2 linked regions of the Struthio camelus genome follow. The protein of the gene in region 2 interacts with the protein of the main gene of each other region in a pairwise test. Links are inferred from orthologs where the notes say so. Each region holds a gene or a part of one and is shown on either strand. Other genes may lie near its edges.

The links.
Region 1: the proteins of ARID5A (region 2) and SOX5 interact in a two-hybrid assay, tested with the Homo sapiens proteins (2 studies listed by BioGRID and IntAct). The two-hybrid records come from large-scale screens. The link is inferred for Struthio camelus from reciprocal best matches to the Homo sapiens genes ARID5A and SOX5.

What each region holds. Positions count from the first base shown.
Region 1 is NC_090942.1:74,910,252-74,918,200, forward strand, and holds the start of SOX5 (transcription factor SOX-5), read left to right. Parts: upstream 1-4,852; 5' UTR 4,853-4,981; coding exon 4,982-5,073; intron 5,074-5,562; exon of another isoform or gene 5,563-5,859; coding exon of another isoform or gene 5,860-5,897; intron 5,898-7,949.
Region 2 is NC_090968.1:1,207,140-1,214,720, forward strand, and holds the start of ARID5A (AT-rich interactive domain-containing protein 5A), read left to right. Parts: upstream 1-4,520; 5' UTR 4,521-4,728; intron 4,729-7,183; 5' UTR 7,184-7,233; coding exon 7,234-7,320; intron 7,321-7,581. Other genes in the region: STE20-like serine/threonine-protein kinase, read right to left, coding at 1-42, 1,270-1,836. UniProt on the Homo sapiens protein: DNA-binding protein that may regulate transcription and act as a repressor by binding to AT-rich stretches in the promoter region of target genes.

The DNA.
Region 1 (7,949 bases), on a different chromosome or scaffold from region 2:
TGAGGTTCCTTTACTCTGGTAAATGTGGAGTGGACAGAATCAAAGTGTGCTAACTTGATTTTTTAACAAATGATTAGGATCTTTATTTTAAAGTTTAGTGACCTTTTAGGGAAGTTTGAATTCAAATTTTAGCTGAAGGTTCGTATTTCTCCTTTAGGATAGTGTCAGTTCCCTTTTGCAGGGAGGGTTGCAGATGATAGGCCACTGCTGAAATTACACGTAAACAGCTGCTAAATTGGGGCTTCCCATTTGCAAATGAGAAGGTTTTATTTTTCCTTGAAGAAATACAGTAAATTGAATAACCCTAAATAGCACAGGAATTTCAGTTCTGTAGGCTGTCTTCTCCTCAGATTTTGCTATACTATATTCAGCACTGAGTTTTGCCAACACCAAACATGCCTGATGTGGCATTTACATTCATTTAAAAAAAAAAAAAGGCATAAATTAGTTATATTTCTAAGAGTTAACTTCTCCTCTTGACACATGTACTTAATTCCCATTAATGGAAATGGCAGTTAGGCATGCACACTGAAAGGAAAAATCTGTTCCTAAGCATATGATCCAAACTGCATTGTAGCTAAACATTTCCATACTCTGAAGCAAGCACTCATTATTTGCAAGATATTCTTCATAATAAATGCATCAACCCCACGCCATTCTCCCTCCATTCTCTCTCAACCTGTTCCAAAACATCCTTTCTTAGAAATTTTACAGATTAATTTTAATGCTGTAGTTGTTTTGGATACGTGCCTTAAAAAGAAAGGGTCTTTGGAGTTTTGCATATTTTCTGTGAGAATTTTCCAGTAAATCATTGTGCGGAACATCTTACATTTCCTTGGACTTTGTAGGTGTCTATTATTAAAACTTACAGTGGAAACAACAAAGCCCGCAAAGCTCACTTTTTTTTTTCCAGCACTTCCTTCACTTATTGTATTGTAGCGTCTGCCAAAGGCACTAGGCTGAAGTATTATCATTTGATTTTAAGAACTTGTTTCTGTTTAGCTTAAAGTTTTTCTTTCCGCCAATATGAAGGTATAAAAACCTGTGGATTAGAAATACCTTAACTCTGGAATATTAGATATATCTAACTTGAGCAGGGTGGATAATTGATTTTTTTTTTTTTTTTTGGTTTACCTCTTGAACTGGAGAGCCACTATAGCAACAAAACTCAAATTATAAACTCTTCCATGAATTTTTATACTTAGCTGAATTTATTTCCCTCATCTAAATGAAGGTCGGAACTTTTTTGTTTAATTCAACACAAATTGTCTCGTTTTACCTGGACTTTCTTGTGTTGGGCACCCTTAAGGGAAGCAGATGTGGGGAAAGAGAAATGGGGAAAAAAGGTTCAATTTTCTCATCAGTTTAAGATATTTGAACTTACATATCCAGATTTGAGAAGACAATTGGACATAGATCTGCATCGCAAGTGAATTTTCTAACTACTGACCTGCTCAGTAAAAAGGGGCATCAAGACTTGCTATTGCCAGTGAAAAGTTTCAGGACAAGGTAAAATGTCATATGTTAAAATTTGGACAGTTGCATATTACATACATTTTCTTATTTCTCAGTCAGTGATCATTTATCTGAATTTGTTAGTTTTTCCACTTTGTGATAACAACCTTTGTTATGTGTCCTTGCTGTTTCTAAAAAGCAAGTCTTTCAAGTTAACGCAATGTGATTGTAGGAAGGTTTCAAAGATTCTCTAAAACCATTTGTTTGGCCTTCTTTATCTTCCTCTCGCAATTGCAGTTAGATGAACTTACAAGAACATAATTTTATAGCTAGAAATACAATGGTAACAGTAACTTTTTTTTTTTTTTCTCCTGTTGGACCCAACTCTGTTTCCTCCCACTGAACTGGGAGAGGGAGCTCAATAGCTGCAGAAAAAATAAGGTAGGTAGCTTAGCAAAAAGCATAATGGGGTAATGGTAAATGTTATAAACTAAGGTAAGGGGGGGAGGGGGGAAAGGGAAGAAATCTGAAAGATATCTGAGCAAGAGGGGGAGCTGAAAAGGAGAGGGGAAAATGGAAGAAAGGAAGTAGAGACCATTCCTCTGAATGCTTTTGACTAGGCCCTTTATTAGGGCTCTTTGTATTTTTTCTAGTTTAGTCAAATTCCTGTTCCGTATTTCCTGATATTGATGGTGATTGTTCGTGTTTATAATCATAGTAGCTGAGAGCCAGCCAAGAAGGAGCCCCATTGTGCACAAACTTGGAGGAGTACATCCTCATTGCCCCGAAGATCTTACCGCTGATATAGGAAGTGACATAGGAAGGGGTAAATACATGTGAACAGAGGATGGAAGGACGTGGTGGAAAAAAGGCAGTTGCGGAGCAGAGGTGAGATGAAAAGAGAGCTGAATGGCGTTAACATGCAGTCAAAATGTGATAGTCCTGTTCTGCCAAAACTGTTGCCAATTCTTTGACTAAAAGGTCATCTTCATTTTCCCCTAGCTGGGGTTTCTGACTGGCTTCTCTTTGCAGACTTCTCCCAAGGCTGTAAGTGAGGAAGCAAGGGAAGTAAAGTAAAAAGTGGCAGAGAGGAACAGCATCCTGGAAGTACTGAGGGGCAATGGTGCATCAACAGAAAAACAAAAGCCCAAGAAAAAGGGGCCTCACAAATACTGAAAAGTGTGAATAAATCTCTGAAGTGCGTTTTAACCAAGCAGTTAGATGTAAAAATCATGCCTTTGTAGAAAAAACAGCTAAAATATACTTCTGGTCACAGGGAGGAACGTGTTTCAGCAGCGTAGGGACTCTTGCCGACTGCAGGGCACATGGGATCTTTGTTTCTCATCCTTTTGCTGAAGTTGTCTAACTGTGTCGGCATGGGCAAGCTACTTAACCTGTCTGCATCTTAGTTTCCTTATTTGAGGCCAAATTCTCCTACTGAGCAGCCCCTTACTCCACACAGATTTGCTGATTTGAAAAGAGCCCCTGTGGAGCGAGATACTTTTCAATACAAATAAAGTTTTGGAATAGGCCCTAATTATATTTATTACCTGCAGAGGAGTAATGTGAGACTTAACATGGTTTGAGACCCTCAGCTGAAAGAAGTAGTATTTGCAATTGTTCTTTTTAATCATCCGCAGCCTTTTCAATGTCTATTTCATAGCTATCCTAAAAGGGCTCGCTCCTAAACCACAAATAAAAAAATAAAAAATCCTTGTCCACGTTAACTAGGTCTGTCAGTCTGCTGTGAATGAACCTCTGTGGCGAATACGATGTGCCAGGGGCTGCCGAAGGAAACGAGTTTACCCTGCCCCACGGTGAGGAGCCCTTAGATGTACCTCACGCCAGAAGTTGACAGATTCTGCGCGACTCCGCTCTGAGCGCGGGTGTGAGGCAGGCTGGAGAGACGGTCTTCGCGGATACCCTTTTATGAACGATAACGAAGGCGCCTTCGCAAACTTAGCTGCCGTGTTTCGCTTCATGAATGGTGTAGTGCTCTTTTGGGAGGATGCGCGTAACTTGCGAGTGGCTTTGCTGTTTGTGATTAAAATGATCATCCCGGTGCTCTGGCCGATGCTGCCTTTACGCCGCGCTGGACTGACTGGCCCCTGTGTGAGCCTGCCGTCTTACCACACGTGCGTTGAGAGTAAATAGAAACAAATTAAAGAGCGGAGCTGTTGGACATTGATAAAAAATAATAAGCCTTTTCTTTTTGGAATTTTTTTAAGCCAGTGGGCATGAAAAGGTTGAGCGGTTTACGGCCGCTCTGTGTCAGTATGTGTGCGTGCACTTGTACGTATTTTGAAAAGTAAACTTGCTCTCTCCTTGTGACTGGGAGGTAGGGGTAAGTGGGGAAGAGAGGGGGCAGTGGACCTAATCAAACTGTGGTGAGGTCAAAACCTCATGGTTTTTAAAGGCTCTTAATGTTATCCAGCTGCAAATTAAAAAAAAAAAAAAAAAGAGAGAGAGAGAAAGGAATTAGGGTTGGGGAAATGGAAAGAATGGAGTATAGATATGTGCTTGTGTGTGGGTGTGTGTGCATGTGTGTGTTAAAGAACAGGCAGACTTAGTTTTTGCTTTTTTCTTTCCTTTCCCCCCTCCTTCTTCTCCCCCCCCCCCCCCCCCGCGCCTAACGCGAGTTCAGTGCCAGGCTGGACATTGGCCGTGCAGACTATTGAGCCATTGTCTGCTGCGTTTCCAGAATAGCCCCCAGTTAATCGCTTGGGCTTTGAAGGGAATTTCCTCGTGGGATTCTCCGCAGCAGACCTAATCCAGTGACCTGCCCTGCCGACGACGGCAGGCTCCCCGCAGCCGCTTGCCTTCCCCCCCCCAGCACCACCACCACCAGCCACCTCCACCCCCGGCTCCGCCGCGGCGGGGCGGGCTCTGCGGTGTCGCCTTTTGTGCAGCCTGAGCCCTCCCAGTAGGAGTGGAGAGCTGGTCTCCCTCTGCCTCCCCTCGCTGCCTCCGCGCGTGTGTGTGTGTGTGTGTGTGTGATGTGGAGGGTTGGCGCTGCCCTGCCCTGCCCGTGTGGATGCGGTGCGGGTGCCGCGCCGTTTGACCAGATGCTGCAGTGCACCGGCCGGCCCCGGTCTCTGCCTGTGTGTATGTGCGAGCGCGGGTGTGCGTGCGCCTCTGTCATTTCATGTCAAAGGTCCATTACCTGATTACCTTCCTCGCCTGCCAGATTTTTATCTAGATAATTGGAACTGCAATGGAGGCCGTGTGCTGCCAGCCAGCTTAAAGGAGGGGTGGGGGGCGGAGGGGGGGGGGTGTCTCTCAAACCACAGTTTGTCCACCTTGTTATCTGTGGCTGTCTGGGCAGAGGAAATTAAAGAGATCCACAGCTGAGGGACTCCTTCGGCTTGCTCGAGGGGGAGGGAATTAAAACCAAAAAAGCCCTAGAAGACAAAAAGTTTATTTTTGCTGTGTGTGTGTGTGTGTGTGAGCGCGGGGTGTGTGCGTGTGCGCGCACGCTGTCTTGGCATGTGGATACCTTTTCCCTTCCACACAACAGGGCTGTTTGATGGAGTTTGGAGCTGAGGAAACTTTGGTTTTGTTGCCAGGACGGTTCGCAGCACTTTGTGGAAAGCAAGAGCTAACAGTGAGACCGACAGAGTGAGTGACAAGTTGTTTACAGGTTTCCTTGAAGGGGCCTCTGCTATATTTCAATCTGTCAAAGTTGCTTTTCTTCCCTCAGAACAATGCCTGATTGTTGTGTTTTTTTTTTCTCTCTCTCTCTCAAAGAGAGAGAAAGAGGGAGAGAAAGAGAGACTAAAAGGGGGGGGGGGAGAGAAAGGAATGAAAATTCTTTCGAGTACAAATGCCTTTGGTAACATTTTTATGTGTCTAATCTTTTTCTCCCCTATTTCAACTCAGAGACAGTTGATAACTGTTTCAATTTAATCAGTCTGCTCTTGTTTTATCTTCTTTCTCCACTGATCTTCCTCAGCGCAGGGGATTTGCTCCTGGTTTGCCGGGTTTAGGTGGATTGTTGGGCTTTCTTTTTTCCGCTCCTTTTCTTTTTTTTTTTTTCTCTTTTCTTTTCTTTTTTTTTTGTTCGTTTTTAGGGCATTAAATGAGTTGACTTTTCACATTCTGTGGTGACTGGAGAGCAGAATTAAAAGGAAAGGACAGGCACCCTGAGGTTGTCTAGTGCCTTGCAGCCGCAGCACGCTGCTCCGCTGTGGGGGGAGCTTTATAAACAGTCTGCTGCGAAGTGTGCTACCCCTTTAAGAGACTGGTCAAGGAGTCCTAGCTCAGAGAGAGAGAGAGAGAGCCAGAGAGAGAGAAAGAGAGAGAGAGAAAATCAATCGGTTTAGAAGGTTTGGACTCACTTGACAGGTTCAGTTGGAGGCGATCATAGGTGGCTGCTGTGACAAAGGGAAATTGTGCTTTTCCAGCATGCTAACTGACCCTGATTTACCTCAGGAGTTTGAAAGGTGAGTCGAGTTGGGGGGGGGGGGAACAGAAAGGGGGGGCGGGTTTGTGTTTTGTTTTTTGGGGTGTGTATGTGTGGGTTTTTTTTTTTTTTTTGCTGTTTCTTTTTGGTCTTGTAGGTTTTTTATTTTTTGCGGGGAGGGGGTTTAATTTGAGTACGCGTGTTAGCGCGCTCGCCCGCGTGTGTGCGAGGCGATGTCCGCGGTGCACACGCACACATAACACACACACACACACACGCACACACACACACACACACGAGAGAGGGGCACGCAACTCCGGCGGCACGGCGGCGAGATGCTTCTTCTTACCCCCCCCCCCCCCCCCCCCCCCCGCGGAACGTTACCTTGGCTATTCAAATCGCGTGTCAGTTAGGCGGGCGCGCGGGGGGGGTGGGGGTGGGGCAGGGGAACCCTCCGTGCCGGCGCCCCGCCGCGCCGGGGATGCTCCCCCGGTACTCAGCTTTGTTCCGCTCCCGAGTGGAGATCTTCATGGACACTATCGTGCCCTCTCTCTCTCTTTTTTTTTTTTTTGTTGTTGTTTGTTTTTTTTTCGCTCGCCTCTCTTCCCCTGCGCTCCCCCCCCCCCCTTTCTCCTCCAACCCCAAACCTTTCCCTGAATCAGCCCACTAAAATACAGGAGGCGATGCTGGGTGCGGAGTGCCTTCATTGTCAGCATCTCCCTGCCCTCCGAGAGTGATTTCCAGGGTGACAGAAGATGTCTGGTGGCGGGGGAAGCGGTGGATTTAACTTCCCATTCGATCCTTCTGTAAAACTTTGGAAGGCGCTCAGTAAAGCACATGACCTTTTGTTGATCTAGCACAAGTGATTATTTTTAGGCAAGTTAACATCCCAGCCCTCCATCAAGAGAACATCCTTTTGGCTTCGAAAAAGTGAAACTCTTGGTTCTAAGTTTTAGCTGTTGCCTCGCTCGCTAAGTGTCAAAAGCGGGATTTTGATTTATGACGTATATACGTTCATCTCCCCCTTTCTGAAGCAGGAGCCTTGCATGTTTGGAATTAAGTTTTTTCTGTCACTGGCAAGGGCTCGTGACCTCCAAGAGTTTAGTCCTTCTTCCATACGATCTAGTGTTTCCAAAAGGTTTTGAAGCATTTTCTCAGACGTTTGTACACACATCCATTGATGATCCAGCATCCTTTCCCTCCGGCTTGATTTTTAAACATTATTAATAGTCCCTTGTTTAGCTGCAATAAACAATTCAAACTTTTCATTTTGAAGTGGTAAATAAAAGAATGCCAGGATGCGTGTTGCTTAGATTTTTTTTTTTTTTTCATTTTCATGAAAGCTACCTCCTGTATAAACATTTGGTTGTATCTGACTATGCAATACAAGCTAGGTGCTAGACCAGCTGGTTAAAAATATGCTAAGTCAAGCTGTTCATCGTTCAAACCTACTGAATTTGATAGTAAAGGCACAGAAAAGAAGGCAAGATAAAAACATTTTAAGTGGGCTGAGAAACACACTTGCAGAGAAAGGACAGGAAAGAATGCCTGCATTAAAAGATCGGAGAAAAATAAAATTGGGAAATTCAGAAAAGAACTATTTTAACACTTTCAGTCCTCTTTCTGCAACTAAACACTTCCTTACTAGAAAGTGGAGTTGGCATTGTTGAACTGTTCCAAGATCTTATTTAATACAATTAATTTTCCAGACTTACTTAGAATATTTGGTATTTTTCTTTGGTTTCTTATTATTGCAGTAATAGGAAAAAAATTATTTTTGTTCACATTTATTGTACTAAGTTAGCTCAACTACCTGAGGAAACAGTTACTGTTCCTGGTGTTGAACCTGATCTAACATCTTGATAATATAGTTGTCTTGTTCATAAAATTAATGGATAAAAGTAATTCATCTAGTTCACTAAGATTATACATAGAAATTTCGAAGCAAGCTATTTAGTTTATACTTTGAACTTTGTGATGAACAGAATACCTATAAAGTCTATTAGGCAGAATGGAAGTCCTTTCATTTTTCTGTTGATGGACTTTCTTTTTCTCTGAAGTCTCTCTGCACGACATATATATATGTATATAA
Region 2 (7,581 bases):
CACCTTCGCCGCGGCCAGGGCCCCCGTCACCTTGTTCTGGGCCTGGAGAAAAGACGTTTAAGGCAGTTGGGAAAAAAGGTTTTGCAAGCATGCGCTACGTCGTGTGCTGCGGTGCGTTGTGACGTGATACGTGGCGTCGCAAGATGATCTAGCCGGCCACATTTCAATGAAACGTCCTATCGCGATAGGGTGCTCCATATTATGATATTATATCATGCCATGACCCTGGCTTGTATCGTGAGCCTGGAATAGCCCCTCTCCTCTAGCAGACCAGGCCAGGAGCCAGGATTTTGGGTCCCTGCCCCAGCCCAGAGCATGGCTGGCGGGGACCAGGCGCATCTCCCCAACCTAGAGGAAGTCCTTGCGGTTTTCAAGCGTGACGTGTTCACAGATGATGGCTGCCACCACAAAGTCGGTGCCAAGAGGGAAATTTTCCCAAACAAGAGGCTGGTTTTGGCCAGGTCCAGCCTGGGGAGGGTTCCCGGTGCCACAAGTGCACCGACCACGCCAGGGCTCTGCACGATGGGCCCCAGAGCCGGAAGGCGGCTGCTGCTGGGGCGCCGCGGGCCCCGGGGAGCAGCACGGCGGGTTTCCTGTTGAGCTCAGCCTCTGCATCGCGGTTGTGGTGACAACAAGAGATTAAAAAACAGCCCTGTCTCAAACTCACGGCAAAACGAAGGATGTAAACGTTCCTGCTGTGCCCGGCTCTGGGATCTCCTGCTGAAAAAAGAGGGGAGGGGACAAACCCCAACCAACCTCATGCAGAAACACCCCAGGGAACGGTCCTTCCTGCCACCCATTTGCACCCTGGAAAGGGACCGTTCCCGATTGCCCTGTGCCCGAGGAGCTGCTTGACCCCGGGAAAGCGGTGGCTCTTTCGGTGCCAGCGAACAGGACTAAGGCAGCCGCCGGCTGCATCCCAAGGCCACGGGGGTCCCCAGCGTCCCCATCGTGTGCCCTCTCCCTCCCAGCAAAGGGAGCCACTAAAAACCCAAGGCAATTTGGAGGCTTTCCAGCTTATCACAGCGCGTGCTGGATGCTGTTCGATGACCGTCACTTATAAGGCTATAAGGTGGCACTGACCACGGCTGCAGGGGAGAAAAAAGGAAGCATTTAGGGTGCCATTTCCAAAACAAAGTCCTGCAGGCATTTTCTGAAGCTCTTTCCCAGGAGAACGGGCTTGATCCGTGGCCGGACTGCCGGGAAGCCTGCGCCGAGCTGCGATGCCGGCGGCACCGGGCCGCTCGCCCTTCGCTCCCCGTCGCCTACCTTGAAGACCTTGCCGAAGGCGCCGTCGCCCAACTCGCCCAGCACCAGCCACGCGTCCTCAGGGTTGACGTCCCGCCTGACATGCTGGTAGCGCCTTGGCTTCTTCTTCTCCGTGCCCAAGCGGAAAAGTCGCCGGAAGAAAGCCATGGGGCAAGGTGTTTTTAGGGGGAAAGAGATGAGCTGGGGCAGGCTGCCACCTCCATCCAGGGAGGACGGGGACCTCCTGGGGCGGCCGGGAACCTCTCGCTCTTCCTGCCTCGCTCGCGCAGGAAGCGGGCTCGGCGGCGGTGGCCACGGGGGCCGGCTCGAACAGGGCTGCGCAGGATGTGCCGGGGAGGAGAGGCGTGTCAGAGGTGCCGCTGCGAGCCCGGGTGCCGCAGAGGTGCCCGTGCAGATGGTCTGGCCTTGCTCAGCATGAGCAGGAGGCTTCTGGCTCGGTGCATGCTCCAGGGAGCAGCCCAAAAGCCCTAAAAGGGATTTATTCCCGCAAACACCCACTAAGTTGTCCCCTCGCCAAGCCGATGCGCTGGGCGAGTGCAGCATGCATGCACACGTGTGCACATGCATGCACGCCGGGGTCCCCAGCAGGGCTGGCTCGGCAGCGGACACAGCCAGGCATGGCTGCAGCCAGGCAGGAGACCAGCACCCTCCAGCACAGCTAAATAGAGGCTAAAAGCCTCCAGCTGAGCTTAAATAGAGCCCCTGCACCCATGGGTGCAGGTGAAGCTTTAGGTGAGGCTGCTCAGGGCTGTTAAAGCTTATTTGTGCCCCCAGGACCTAAGTACAGGGATATAGTTTATGGTTTTCTTTTCATAATACATAGTTAGACATGCAGTTTAAAATAAAGCATTGTATTTATACCTAAACCCAGATGCATCGGGCAGCATTTACCCATGTAGGGAGGTGTCTGCGTACGGCTTTGCTCTTGTCATCACCTCGCGAGAGACCCGGTTGCTTCCCCCTCCGTCAGCCCGGCCAGCCGAGGCATCGCTGGGGCGAGGAGCCGTCGGCTTGACTGCGCCTTGCGGCCTTCTCTCTCTGCCCAGTAGCGGGGGGGGGAAAAATCACTGCAGGGGGAAATTCAGCCGGATCGACCGGGACCGGACCTGCACCCACCAGGGAGGTTACGTCCTGGCGCTGCGGCTCGGGCGAGCGGACCCATCGGGGAGCCGGGTTGCACCTCTCCGTCGGCTCATCAGCCACTGTTATAGCAGTGCGGCCTCGAATCTTCACGAGCCGGCCTGGCTCGCTGCCACGTGCGCTCAGGCACATCCCGGGGCTTTCCGACCACCCGCCTTTCTTTTTTCTTTTTTTTCCTTTCTCTCCTCCTCGGTAGGTCCTGGCTGCAGGCTTGCCCTGGAGCTGCCTCTCACACCCTCAGCACCAAAAATAAGGTGCTGCTGGCCGCAAGCCCGCGTGCCAGGATGGAGCAGCCGGAGACCCTGCAGCATCACAGGATAATCGAGGCTGCAGAGGCTTTAGGACGTCGCTAGTCTGAGCTCAAAGCAGCCTTGGATGCGATGTGAGACCAGACTGATCCTGCACCACCGAGTGCCTCTGGCAGATTCAGGGTTTGGGGGAATTTAGGCCAGCCCTGTTCTTTCCTTGCCTGCTGAGGTGGCTCTTTCCTCCATGAAAAACAGCCCATTTCTCTGGCCAGCTTTCAGAGGAGTGGGATGAAACCACCGTGCGGCCCGGAGCCTGCCGCAAAGCAGCGGGTCTCTGCCTGTTTTACACATTGGCTGAGCACTGCCCCCTTTCAGCACACCAATGACAGAGCCAGACTTAGCCTGACTGCTGCCTAACCAAAGTATATTGAGCTCAGTAACTCACATTCCCTAAAGCAGGTCTTCCAGAAAGAGGCCATGCAAAGACACGGAGAAAACACATTTTTGGGAGGGACCTTCCTATCCCTCATGGTCCAAAGCAAGGACGCGTCTTCCCAAAGGGGTTGGCGCCCACCCTGCGGGTGCTTGACTCCCCACAGGCCTCAAATGCAATTTATTTCCAGCCTGACACTGTCCTCTAGTGGCATGCGGGCAACAAAAGGGAATTTATTATAGTGTCCGGCCGGGTGGGAAGAAAAACTATAAAACCCTCCTGCCCAGCTGGATGCGGCTCCTTGTGCCCTGCCGGGAGGAGCAGGAGGGAGGAAAGCGGCAGGGAGCCGGTCGGTGCGCTTTGTGCTAGGGGAAACCGAGGCTGAGCTTTTGTACAAATCGATATTGCCCGATCTCACCGTCCCTTGAAGAATTTCCCAGCCCGGGAGGACCCGGAGGCTGTTTACTGGCGGGATTTCTCTTTCTCGCTCTGACTGGCAGCTCTGAGTCAGGCCTCGCGGGCGCGCTTTCCGGTAACGAAAGGGTTAACGCCGCCGTCGGAAACACCTCGCCACTCATCTCTGCCCTGCGCGGCGCCCGGTTTCAGCATCGGGGCCCGTCGGGGCCCGTCGGGGCACCCCTCAACCCCGCCGGCTCCCGCTGCCCCCCCCCCCCCCGCCCGCCGCCGGCGGCTCGAGGTTTTCCCACGGCGCCCCGCCGCGCACCCGCGGAGCCGGCGAGCGCAGCCGCCGCGTCCCCCCCGCCCCGTCCCCGCGTCCCTCTGTCCCGCCGCTTCTGCTTCCTCCGCGCCCCCGGCTGCCGGGTCCGGGATGACTCACGGGGGATTTTTTTTGGGGCTCTTTCGCAGCTCCGGCGCAAGGCGGAGGGGGATTCTGCGAGCCCGGCCGGGAGCTCGGACCTGGCCACGTCCCCTGCCCCCCCCCCCCCGACACTGGGGACACTGGGGACACTGGGCGCCGCGGCCAGCCCCGGGCACGGATGCTCTGGCCGCGGATAAGTCCATCTCCGCTCCGAATGGCCGGTTTGAGATGATTTTCTTGCCAGCGCCCGGCGGCGCTGCCTCGGGATAATCCAGCCGTCCAAAGCGAAACAAAAAGGGATTGATTAAAAAAAAAGAAAAAGGAAAAGCAATGTGCAAGCGAGAGGTGCTGAAGGGTCAGGATGACCCCGCTGCCCGCCGCAGCCGCGCTCCCGGCCCGGCCCCGGCGGCAGCCCCGCTCCGGCAGCGCGTCCCCGCGGGGCACCGGGACCGGAGCGGCCGCGGCCACGGACCCGGCCGGGGCACCGGGCCGGGAGCAGCCGGGCCGGGGTGGGGGGGAACCGCGCTGGAAATCCCTGCACACTCATTCAGCGAGGCAGCGGGCTCCCCGCCGGCGAGAGCCCCAAAAAGTCCGGGCGTTCCGGTAACGAAAGAGTCAATCGCGCACATGTACACACACACGCACACACACACACACACACACACGCGCGCACACACACACACACACACGCCACTTCCCTGAGTGGGGGATGACTCATCCCCCAGCCCTTCATCCCCGATAGAAGTAACACAAGCAAACCACAGCGCTCTTCCTCCGGCCTCGCCGATGCACCGCCCGCCGCTCGCCCGCTGAAGCCGGTGAGTTCGGGCGACCCGGGGCCGGGCAGAGGGGGGAGGAATTTCGCGATGGCGACCGGACCGGGAAAGCTTCGGGATGCTACCGGGAAGGATTTCGGGATACGACTTGACGGCAGGCTTCAGCCCCGCTAGAGCGCTTCCCCCCCCCCCCGCCCCCAACACCCCGCGCAGCTGAGGCCCGACACACTCAGCGCACGCACGGAGCGGCAGTGCTGCCTGAGTGCGGGGACGGGACGAGGACGGCACGAACCTTTCCGGGGGTGGCGGAAACGGGTCTTTTTACTCTATAAGGGTGGGGGGGTCCCGAACAGCACCCCCCCCCCGGGGCTCCAGCACCCGGGTCCGGACAAAGCCGTCTCCGGGGCGGGCTGGAGCCGCCGGGGCCGGGGCCGGGGCCGGAGCTGGGACCGGGGCCGGGACCGGGGCCGGAGCCGGGGCCGGGACCGGGGCAGCGGCGGCGCCCGCCGCCCGGGCCGCGCTGGCTGATGTAAGGCGGTATTTTAATTCTCTTACAAGGAGCGGGCTTTAGAGGAATGACTTAAGTGGATTACTCATCCGCTGTAATGACTTGGCAGCGCTCCCGTGCTATTCCTAGACATGACGCTCAAAGCTTTGATTCTTCCTCTTCTGCTGCTTTTTTTTTTTTACTTTATTTTTTGTTCCCCTACTTTTCTTTCTTTTTTTTTTCTTTTTTTTTTTTTTTGCTCTCTTTCTAACGAGAAATTACCCCGCTGCGTTTTTTCGCAAAAGCCGCGCGGCGCCCTGGGAAACGTAGTGCGCTGCCGGGAAGCGCCGAGCCCAGCGGGTCCAAGGCCTGGACGAGGAGGGGAGAATAGCAGAATCTGCCTGAAAAAAATGCTGCAAAAAAGCCAGTTTGGGTCCGGGTCCCCCCCGGGACCCTCCTGGCCCCTTTCCCAGGAGGCGAGGTCCCGCCGCCCAGTTCAGGCCCGGCGGGCTCGGGTGAGCCGCTGGGCGCTTGGGCAAGGCGGCGCTGCAAAGCCTCGGTTTTTTCCCACCGCTTTGAGCGGTTTACCCAAAATTGCCGCTTTTCCCCTAGCATGCGGCGCCCTGGCCCTCCCCCGACCCCCCCTCAAAGGGTGCGTTGGGGCCACTGCTCCCGTTTCCTGCTCTTTCGCAGCAATAACCAGAAAGAGAGGAAATAACGTCAGCCGTTCTTTTAATTCTTCGCACTGACAGTAAGCCGGCACTGCACCAAATCCGAGCCGGCGAAATCACAGCGCAGCAAACTGCCTCACCCCGGCACCCACCCCCTTTAAAACCCCCTTTTTTTTGGAGGAGGGGGTTTAAAACTCAGTTTTGGGGGCCGAAAGCAGTGGCCGGTTAGAGGTGGCTGAGCACAAAACGATGCCCGGCGCACACCCCGACCTGCGGGCGCTCGTGTATGCGCAGCCCCCCCACGCCGCCCCGTGCACGCGCGGCCGCAGGTGCACGCACATGCGCCCGCACGCACACCCATAGTAGGCACACATGCACCTTGTCCGCACCCGTGTGCACGCATGCACGCCCACCGAGGGGGGGGGGCCCCCACGCACATGCTTGCACATGCATGCACCTGCTTGCACACACATGCACCTGCTTGCACACGTGTGTACCCGCTTGCACATGCATGCACCTGCTTGCACACACGTGTACCTGCTTGCACACGCGTGCACCCACTTGCACATGCATGTACCCACTTGCACACGCACGCCCCCCCCCCCCGGCCATGCACACCCCTGAATGCGCGCGCCCACATTTGCACGCCCCTGCGTCCTCCCCTCCCCACCCCACCGGGAGGAGGATTTTGGGGGGGGGGGTGCAGCCAGCAGGACTACAACTCCCAGCATGCCCTTCGCCAGGGAGGGAGAGGCGTGCCCCGGCGGGGGGGGACGGGCGGCGGCGCGCTCCAATAGGAGAGGGGGGGCGTGGCGGCGCCGCCCAATGGGAGGCCGGGGCGGTGGGCGCGGCGCGCCGGGGGTGTCACATGGCGCGGGCGCGGCGGCGGGTGAGCGGCGCCGGTACCGGATCGCACCGGAGGGGAAGGGGGGGGTCCGGCTACCCCCTTCCTCCCTCCACACAGCCCCCAGGGGTCGACCCTACCGGAGCAGGCGCTGCCTCAGTTTCCCTAGGGTGAAAAACCAAATTTCCCAATTTGCCCAAATTTCTTTGGAAAAAAAAAAAAAGTGATTTTTTTTTTTTGGTAAAACTGGAAAATTTGCAGCAGGGGAGCCCCGCCGGGGAAAAGGGGGGGGGGGTCAGGCTGACTCTTTTCCCACGCCGCGGGATCACCCGCCAGGCACCGAAATCGGCCGTCCGGCCGATTTCGGTGCCTGGCGGGTGATCCCGCGGCCCGAATAATCCCCGTTAATTCATTTTTTTTTTTCCCCACCGCATTTTGGTTCGTTGTCTCATTTCACCCACTTTTCCCACCCGCCCCCCCACCCCGCCACCGCAGCCCCCCCGCCCCGGCCCGAACGGCGAGCGGACGGAGGGCAGCCGGCCCGCATGGAGGAGGCCAGCCAAACCCAGCCGGCCTCGCCGGAGGAGGACAAACCCAAAACCGAGAGAAACGAAGCCATCGTGGAGCCACCGGTGAGTCCCCCCAGGAGGGGAAAAAAATATATATATATAGATCAAAAAATATATATATAAAAACAAAAAAATCCGCAAAAAAACGGAGGTTTCACCGGCGGCGTCGACGCTGCCGGCCCGCCCTGCCGCCTGCTGAAAAAAAAAAAAAAACCCGGGTGTTTTTTTTGGGGAGGGGGGGTTGGCGCGGGCCCGGCCGTTCAAAACGCCGCGAGCGGTTAAAAAGACTAGAAAGAACAAGCAAAAAAAAAAAATAGTGGAGCC